Saccharomyces cerevisiae S288C: one gene and its partner. The protein of the gene in region 1 interacts with the protein of each later gene in a biochemical or structural test. Each region holds a gene or a part of one and is shown on either strand. Other genes may lie near its edges.

Region 1 (5,453 bases):
TGCAATTTCATCTCCTTTGTGTTTTACTTTGCCGACGTACTTGCACTAGACTCGCTGTGTTTTTTTTCTGTTGTTTTGTTGTTATGCTGTTCTTTAGCTCAAAAAATTGGCCACTGTTCCCCGCTCTGTAAATTAATTGCTCTTAAAGAAACAAAAATGATTAAAAAAAATTAGAAATATTTGAGATAATAAGAACATCATTCAGGTCGCCCATATTCACAATTATTTACAGACTGTATTTTAATGAAGAATGTGTGCATAACTTGATGGTACCTATTCAATATAAAATTTGATAAATAAATAATATTATAAAAATGTCTATGTAATTATTATAAAGCTCTAGAGTATGTATGAGTTGTTACACATAGCATTCCAATGAGTACTTGCTTTTTTCTTCGTTCTTTAGACATTTCAGAAGAATATTCTTTATCTTGTCATTGTTACTGCAACTACTATTATAGTATTATTAGTATTATTGTTGGTATTGTTACTATATATTTACGCTTAAAAACTCCAAATTCAGACCCCAAAATATAATTTAAATAAACATTATCATTTCCCCTCATTCCCGTTGACCTCATGAACTAGCGGTGAATTATGTACTTTTCTTCTGTATTCTAGAACTATGTCACCCTGAGATTTCCAGTAAAGTGTTCTAACGGTATTTAAAGTCATATCGTTATCAAGCACTTGGCCCCTACATAGTAGATCCAACCAAAGACTAGGTTCCATTTTTGCTTTCATTTCAGGAGTTTTCGTTTCAAATCTGTCAGCGACGTAAAGTTTAATTTTTTTCACCCTAATCATTCCAGGCGCAACCAGCTTGACATTCGCCTCAGAGATTCTCGGTAAATCTGTGGGGTTTAACTCCTGCTCGCTGGTCTTCGGACGGCCAAACTTTAGCATATTATGGAACTGTTGCTGTGTTGATGGGGAAACGGCTTCATTACCATTTCCAAGGCTGCTATCGCTACTATCGTTGCCAGAAGATTCTGTGGTATCTGATGCACTAATAAACTTCTTCTTGTTTTCATTGCCAGCTGCCTCACTCCCACCAACAGAAGACCATGGCATGATTAAGAAGTTCAACTTTGGTTGCTCTTCCACCGTCTTAATATCTCTAAATAAAGCTTTTGCAAACCAGTAGGGCAAATTTTCCTCCAATTGCTCAAAAATTTGCCTTCTGTTGAGTCTGCTTCCTAACTCGCCATCAATAAGATCATATTTTCCTAATTTGTCATCATCTACAGCTTGAAGGTCTACTTCTTCATCATCTGGCGGTTTGGAATTTTCTTTGCCGCCGCTGACGGTTTCATTATCGACATGAGATGGCGGTAATAGGGTGGAAAATAATACCCTGCCACCACATGAGCCTTCCTTCCAAAGATGGACCAAAACTAACGTGGCAGATTTTACTCTAATAATTGGACATGAACTAGCCTTGATTATCTTGGTGACTGGAAGCCTCTTCGTCAGGTATTTTAGAGAAGAAGTATTCATATATTGTTGCTTGTAAGACTCTTGAATTTGCTCCAGTAAATCGGGCATGAACTCAGGCTTCTTCTTTTCGTTGCCTTCCAAGGTTGACGTGGAATTCGCCCTTGAGTTTTCAGATGATCTTAGTTTGTTATGAGTGTTGTTACTCGGTAAATCTTGTGATGAAATAGCGGATAGTTTTTGCTCTAGCTTGAAAGGATGATTCCATAACATAGATTCTGGAGTTGCATCCTTAGACTGCTGAGTTGTATTGATAGCTTGAGGGAAGGCCGAGTCATCATTAATAACGTGCGGAGTATCTGGCAGAATTCCTTTGGGCTCCTCTGGAGTGTTTAACCCTGTTGTGGCACGACCAGAAGTAGACCTAAATGATTTGAACTTTCTACTTAACAAGGAGCCAGAGCTCTGCGTTCTAAAATATGGCTTTTTGGATGCAGGCAATGGTTGCACGAGTTCTAAAGAGTCATCTATTGCTTTATCAGAAGCTGACTGCAACAATGGTTGTTCTTCTAATACTATAGTCTCTGCCATTACCGGGGTTGCAGGTGCCGAATTTGGTGGAGTTCCACTGCTGTTGGTATTTCCAATGGACAGAGTTGAACTAATTTTGAAGGTTGATTTTCTCTTTTTATCTTTATTATTCTTTTTTGATTCACTGTTATATCCCGTATCCAAGGTTAATGAATTGGTTAAGTCTTTTTTCTTCAAACTAAAAATTTTCTTCCTTAAAAGTTTATCCTTTTGGACTTCATATGATATGAACTCATTGAAAAGCGAATTAATAACAATTTTACCCAAATTATATCTCTCATCTGAGTTAATTTCAATATTGTTCACAACCTGATAATCCTTTAGCGCGGATCCATAAACTTCAGTTTTCAGAAATTTTGGGTTTATTTTTACGAACAGCATACCGACCTTAACGGAAACAGTACACCAATGAGATAGAATTTCCTTTGAGGTGTATTTCATTACAATATCATCAAATGAACCTTCTGATGAATCAAAAGTATTCAAAAGCTCACATGAAACGATATCCCATCTCTGCATTTGGCCTTTAGTGTTTTCCGTTATTACATGCCTCCTGTTGGTTAGCAGTGAGCTTCTGGTCAGTGCGAACCCACCTTCGTTGACACTGAAATGGTTATTAGTTAAATCGAGCACGTTTAGATTTGAGTCAGTACAAAAAGAAAACAACAATTTTTCATTAGGTAAAAGGGCAATATCAAGGATACCACCATATTTTTTTACTTTCGCATCTGTAGTTGATATATTTTGCTCTTCGTGTTCATGGTGATGATGATGATGGTGGTGATGATCAGGCTTGAAAATTCTTGTAAGTTTAGCATCTTCATAACTGGATAAGTTTGCTCTCATAACATTGCCCTGAGAGTCACCAAAATACAACTTATCAAGGCTCGTTCCTTGGACACACCATATGGAAGAATCCCAGGACCAAGATCCAATTTTTTTGGGAAGCTGAAGGGCACCAGTAGTCTGATCATGCCTACAATTCAAGTCCCATACATTTATTACACCATCTGAGCTGGTACTGATTAGTCGTGTGGAGTCATCAAGAGTTCTTACTACTTTTATATTTGTTCTGTGGGCGTTTTGAATTCTTATCACCTCCTTACGATATTTACACGAATAAAAAATCAAATCACCATTACAGTCTCCGGCAACAAAATCAAAGGGACGAGACGTTTGATTGTCATCAAAACTGTATTTTGGGATGATGGGACTCATGGAGTATATTGAGCCTGTGTCGTTTGATTGTGCATTATCAAATGTGTGTAGTAGCGTAGCCATTTTTTCTGGCCCGCTGCTCAGGCACCAAAGTTTGATTTTTCTATCTAGACCACCTGTCACAAAAAGAAAGTTGTTCTGTTCATCAACAACAATGCCATTATTTATTCCATCGTGTACATTATCAGGACCACCCTCTTGTTCTTCCAATTCATAGTCATTTGACATTTCATAATGTATGGGCACTATGCACTTGATATAATCGTCGTGGTCACCGATTATTTTCTTATCCCAGGTAGTTAACTGCGCATTCACACTAATTAATACTATCGAAAAATCGTGACTTACTGATATGAATGTGTCCCCTGCAGATGGGTCTGAATTTTTCATATTAACATGTATTAGATCGCTTGCCCAATCGCTATGAACTTGCATTCTTATCGCATCGTTTTTTATGGTAGTTGCAGCAGTCTCAGGCTCGTTCGAGAGCTGTGTGTTCTTGTGCAAAATTATGGAACCATCCCTTCCTGAAGTAAGAAAATAGTTTTTACCAGGTATATCCGGGTACAGAATCTTTGTTATCGGTAAGATGTGCGCATCTTGGGAAGTGCAGTAATCTGGGGAAATTAGGCCATAACTCACTGTCAACTGATTCATTATTACCTTTCTATTTTCTCCGGCTTTTTATTGGCTTGCTCTTCTAAAGTCAGAAAAGCGTAGATTTGCTAGAATGTATCGTTTCCTCGTTAGGAATGGCTTGAACTAATTCCTGTATCTATGCAATTGCAATCCAACTACACTTATACGACGTCAAAAGGAAGGGGCGGAGCGTTCTAATTGTAGTTGCAAAAAGCGATGTAGTCGTTCTTCAAGTAGTAATTAATACCAGGATAGGACACGGTGTTATGGTGCTGGTAGTTACTTGTTATAATGTTATTATTGGGCAAAAAGAGAGTTCACTGTTTAACAATAGCAATGGGGTTTTTTTCAGTATACATTTGAACTGCAATGGAATTTGGGCGGAGGGAGCAGTAAAGGGGCGATCAGAGTTGAAAAAAAAATGCTGCCGTAAAAAAAGCATGCACGTATACACTTGAGTAAATATATTTATGTATTCATATCTCAAGATAAGATCATGATACATAAAAGCGATATAACGTCTTGAAGCTCAGGTAAGGGGCTAGTAGATGCAATGAATGACGATGAAGATAGAGCCCAACTGAAGGCTAGGCTGTGGATCCGTGTGGAAGAACGATTACAACAGGTGTTGTCCTCTGAGGACATAAAATACACACCGAGATTCATCAACTCATTGCTGGAGTTAGCATATCTACAATTGGGTGAAATGGGGAGCGATTTGCAGGCATTTGCTCGGCATGCCGGTAGAGGTGTGGTCAATAAGAGCGACCTCATGCTATACCTGAGAAAGCAACCTGACCTACAGGAAAGAGTTACTCAAGAATAAGAATTTTCGTTTTAAAACCTAAGAGTCACTTTAAAATTTGTATACACTTATTTTTTTTATAACTTATTTAATAATAAAAATCATAAATCATAAGAAATTCGCTTATTTAGAAGTGTCAACAACGTATCTACCAACGATTTGACCCTTTTCCATCTTTTCGTAAATTTCTGGCAAGGTAGACAAGCCGACAACCTTGATTGGAGACTTGACCAAACCTCTGGCGAAGAAGTCCAAAGCTTCTCTGGTGTCAGCTCTGTTACCGACGTAAGAACCAACAATAGAGATGGACTTGACGACTTGGTTGAAGACATCAGAACAACACTTGGCACCAGCTGGCATACCGACCAAAACGGTGGTACCGTTAGCTCTAACGTATCTGGTAGAAGCTTCAATAGCGGCTTCGGAAACGGAAACGTTGATGACACCGTGAGCACCACCGTCAGTGGCCTTTAGAACAGCACCGACAATGTCCTTTTCCTTAGTGAAGTCAATGAAGACTTCACCACCGATGGATCTGAATAATTCTTCCTTACCTTCACCACCGTCAATACCCAAGACTCTGTAACCCATAGCCTTGGCGTATTGAACAGCCAAAGAACCTAGACCACCAGCAGCACCGGAGATAGCAACCCAGTGACCGGCCATCAAGTTAGCAGACTTCAAAGCCTTGTAGACGGTGATACCAGCACACAAGATGGGGGCGACTTGGGCCAAGTCGGTACCTTGAGGAATGTGAGCGGCT
Region 2 (4,718 bases), on another chromosome or scaffold:
ACGTTATACTTATTTACTTTCCCAGCGTTGAAATTAATGTGTCTTTTTCATAATATTTACTTTTTGGTGCGGAAATCTGTAATATTTTAAAACAAAATCTCATCCTTTTGAAAAGAAACGATGAAGAAAAAAAATAATAACATACATTGTACCTTCACTAACACTTGTAAAACAAACGCTTACATTATAATGGCACAAATGAGCAATCAGTGTCACTTCTTCCTACATAAGCATAATTCAAGTATCGGGATATAAAGCTATTATATACCGCTTAAGATAAGAGGTATACACCTCATTGATCAAATACGCAACAGCGTCTCCTTTCAGACCTTTGTGGAGTAATTTCTGCGGGTAGGATTGACTATTTTTCAAGATCAATGCCCCCTCACACTAAGACCTGTTTGCTTAGCATCATAAATGAGTTTTTCCATAATTAAATTTCAACCATAGATTAGAATTTCGTTGCGGGATAAAACTCCAGAACCACAACGATTATGCAGCAAATGTAACCTTGAACTAAACTAAGATTTTGTTAGAGCAGGTGGTTTCCGTTACTCAGACAAGAACCTATAGTAGAAATATAAAAGTTTAAGTAAAACTTTCTTGGAATAGGAATCAGCCATCATCTATCAACTAGTGTACTGATATTCATAATACTGGTATACAATCATATACGGTGCGGGAAGATGACATAAAAAATTGAGAAACACTCATCAAATTTAATGGAGGCCGAAATGCAGGGACTCAGATCGTGATAGAATAATAAACGAGAACATATAAAATGGAAGAAAAAAGAATAACAACAATATGTAGATTTATCGATTCTGTTGATAATTAGAGGTAAAAAAATAGTATTAATGAAGAAATAATTACTGATCTTCTTATACTAAATAAGAGAGGTATATAAAACACACGCCGATTGGTCATATTAATCATGACCAATATAATAGTGATTCCGGTAGTTACTATACATTGATGTGACGACTCATATTCCTCATATATGTACCTACCATAACATGTTCAACTAATAGGTGTTTAACACAGCTTCAGTATTGTCTGAGCTTCTCGTTTAACATTCCTTCTGCAATAGGCGCAATCACACTTAAACGTATACGAGGTGTACATTAATATACGATGTAAGCATTAGATTGTTACCATAGCAACTCATGTCACTATTAATTACTCTCGTTCCAACAGATTCTCCTTTTATGGATTCCATATCTCGAGGAGACTTCTAGTATATTCTGTATACGCAATATTATAGCGTTTACGAACAATGAATCCCAACAATTATTTTAAAATTCACCAACATCTCAATATGTGTTTTATGAATATTTTAGGTGGGTATTGTCATACTGACGTATTCCATTTTGAGATGCAACACATACGTGTATTGTAATCCGATATAGTGTAACGGCTATCACATCACGCTTTCACCGTGGAGACCGGGGTTCGACTCCCCGTATCGGAGTACTTTTTTGACATCATACAGTGTATGTATGGGGTTAGGAGCCACCTTCCAACAAAGCATCACGCTGTCGTATCTCAATTGTCCTTCAGCAAAAGAAAAAGCAGTTGGGCTCCTGTACGCCATATATACTTTATATGCGGTTTTTACCCCGGAAATCGCGTTTATTAATGTCAATGCGCGATTTCTATTATGGGTTGAAAAAGTTGCACTTCTGTTCCTTTCCAAACGATATACGCCCCCCCCACAAGAAAACGTTTCTCTTGCATTCAATAAGGTCCATCGAAGCTGTATTTGGAACTTCCGATTTTATTAAACTTCTAGGGGCGAACTCAACCTTTCGCTTGAACAAGCTTGAATGTGTCGAAAACCTTAGCTCGATCCTTAAAAAAGTATTTGCATTATCAGTAATAAACAGAAAATTAAAACATTTACCAAAGGCAACGAGTCTTCCATATGAAAAATGATAAAAAGATGGTTATCTGTGAATAGGAAAAAGTCACACCCGGAGAAGAACACTCAAGGTAATGACGAAATTAATCGGAAAGCAACTAGCCTGAAGAAAACGAAAGGTTCTGGAGATCCCTCCATAGCGAAATCACCAAGTGCTAAGAGTAGTACATCAAGCATACCTTCTAATCTTGCGAGCCATGAAAGAAGAAGCAAGTTTAGTAGTCAAACGGATAACCTTGCAGGAAATAAACATTACCATGAGCATTACCATAATATGGCAAGTACTTCAGATGAAAGAGAGTACGATTCCTCGACTACATATGAAGATCGTGCGTTCGATACAGAGTCCTCCATACTATTTACTACTATTACAGATTTAATGCCATATGGGGATGGTTCCAATAAAGTGTTTGGTTATGAAAATTTTGGGAATACTTGCTACTGCAACTCCGTTCTACAATGCCTTTATAATATCCCCGAATTTAGGTGTAATGTGCTGCGATATCCTGAAAGAGTAGCCGCAGTAAACAGAATACGCAAAAGTGATTTGAAGGGTTCAAAAATAAGGGTATTCACTAATGAAAGTTTTGAAACATCTACTAATAGCGGAAATTCTAATACGGGGTACCAAAGCAATGATAATGAAGATGCACATAACCACCACCACCTTCAGCAGAGTGATCAAGATAACTCCTCTTCTTCTACTCAAGAAAAACAGAATAATTTTGAAAGAAAAAGGAACTCGTTTATGGGTTTTGGAAAAGATAAATCGAACTATAAAGATTCTGCAAAGAAAGATGATAACAATGAGATGGAACGGCCTCAGCCTGTTCACACAGTTGTAATGGCCTCTGATACATTAACAGAGAAGCTTCACGAAGGCTGTAAAAAAATTATTGTGGGAAGACCGCTTTTAAAGCAAAGCGATTCCTTATCAAAAGCTTCAACTACAGATTGTCAAGCAAATTCGCATTGCCAGTGTGATTCACAAGGCAGTAGGATTACATCAGTGGATGATGATGTCCTTGTTAACCCTGAGAGCTGTAACGATGCTGTCAACAATTCTAATAATAATAAAGAGAATACGTTTCCAACAAGTGAACAAAGAAAAAAAGCCGCTTTAATTAGAGGCCCCGTTCTTAACGTAGATCATTTACTTTATCCAACCGAGGAAGCTACACTTTACAATGGACTAAAAGATATATTTGAGTCTATTACTGAAAACTTGTCGCTAACCGGTATCGTTTCACCTACAGAGTTTGTCAAAATTTTAAAAAAAGAAAACGTCTTGTTCAACACTATGATGCAACAAGATGCCCATGAATTTTTAAACTTTTTATTAAATGATTTCAGTGAATATATTCAACGCAATAATCCCAGAATGAGATTCGGACCACAAAAGACAGACAACAGCAACGACAACTTTATAACGGATTTATTCAAAGGTACACTGACGAATAGGATCAAATGTTTAACTTGTGACAATATCACCTCAAGGGACGAACCATTTTTAGACTTTCCAATAGAAGTACAGGGTGATGAAGAGACTGATATCCAGAAGATGTTAAAAAGCTATCATCAGCGTGAGATGTTGAACGGGGTTAACAAATTTTATTGTAACAAATGTTATGGTTTACAAGAAGCAGAACGTATGGTCGGACTGAAGCAACTGCCCCATATTCTGTCATTGCACCTAAAAAGATTCAAGTATTCAGAGGAGCAAAAGTCAAACATCAAACTTTTTAACAAAATACTCTATCCACTAACTTTGGATGTTTCTTCCACTTTTAATACATCAGTATATAAAAAATATGAACTAAGCGGCGTCGTCATCCATATGGGGAGCGGTCCACAGCATGGTCATTACGTATGCATTTGCAGGAACGAAAAGTTTGGGTGGCTTTTGTATGATGACGAAACGGTGGAATCCATAAAAGAAGAAACTGTGTTACAATTCACAGGTCATCCAGGTGATCAAACTACAGCCTACGTTTTATTCTATAAAGAAACACAGGCTGATAAGACCGAAAATCAAAATGAAAATATAGACACTTCTAGTCAAGATCAAATGCAGACTGACAATAACATTGAACAGTTAATAAAATGCGATGATTGGTTAAGGGATCGTAAATTGAGGGCAGCTGCAAATATTGAACGCAAAAAGACCTTGGGGAATATACCTGAAGTTAAGACTGCAGAAACCAAGACGCCATTAAATGATAAAAAACGCAATAAGCAAAAAAGAAAATCGAGAATATTGAGCTTCATCAAATAAATCGGGATTGTTTCGATACATCATATAGTTGAGACCCATCTGTTCTAAAAGTATCAATATTAGTGTACCATTTTTTCTTCCTTTTTTAAATAATTTCCACGTTTCTTTCTATTGTTCCTGATCTTTCGAATTTAGTTGTATTTCACTTCACCTACTGTAATAACTTTTTTTTTTTAGAGCACAATAAAATTTCACATATTTTCCAAAAGCAAGGGCGGTAAATCAGAAAAGATTAAGCTTTAATGAAAATCTCATAGAGACCAGATGAAGAATATTGGTGGCAGCATAAGCGCTAATACTGAATAGATATACGCATTTTTTTTCAAAATATCTGTTAGTACATTTATACAAATATATTCGTTTATACCTCTTCTTTAAACAGGCGCATGTGTAAATAAATATGAGACTGATTCTCCATTATGCAATCTTCTGATAGCTTCTGCAATCGTAGGGCTGATATCCACCTGATCGACAATGTCCAAATCCAAATCAACAGGTACCGTGTTGGTGCAAACAATTCTT

The links.
Region 2: the proteins of DUF1 (region 1) and UBP9 form a complex in vitro, tested with the Saccharomyces cerevisiae proteins (one study listed by BioGRID).

What each region holds. Positions count from the first base shown.
Region 1 is NC_001147.6:154,735-160,187, forward strand, and holds DUF1 (Duf1p), read right to left. Parts: upstream 3,904-5,453; coding exon 553-3,903; downstream 1-552. Other genes in the region: protein disulfide isomerase MPD2, read right to left, coding at 1-11; MHF1 (Mhf1p), read left to right, coding at 4,439-4,711; alcohol dehydrogenase ADH1, read right to left, coding at 4,814-5,453. UniProt on the Saccharomyces cerevisiae protein: Ubiquitin-binding protein involved in the resistance to phenanthroline, sanguinarine, nordihydroguaiaretic acid (NDGA), isopropyl (N-3-chloro-phenyl)-carbamate (IPCPC) and guanosine 5'-O-(2-thiodiphosphate).
Region 2 is NC_001137.3:353,535-358,252, forward strand, and holds UBP9 (putative ubiquitin-specific protease UBP9), read left to right. Parts: upstream 1-1,931; coding exon 1,932-4,196; downstream 4,197-4,718. Other genes in the region: ribose phosphate diphosphokinase subunit PRS2, read right to left, coding at 4,571-4,718.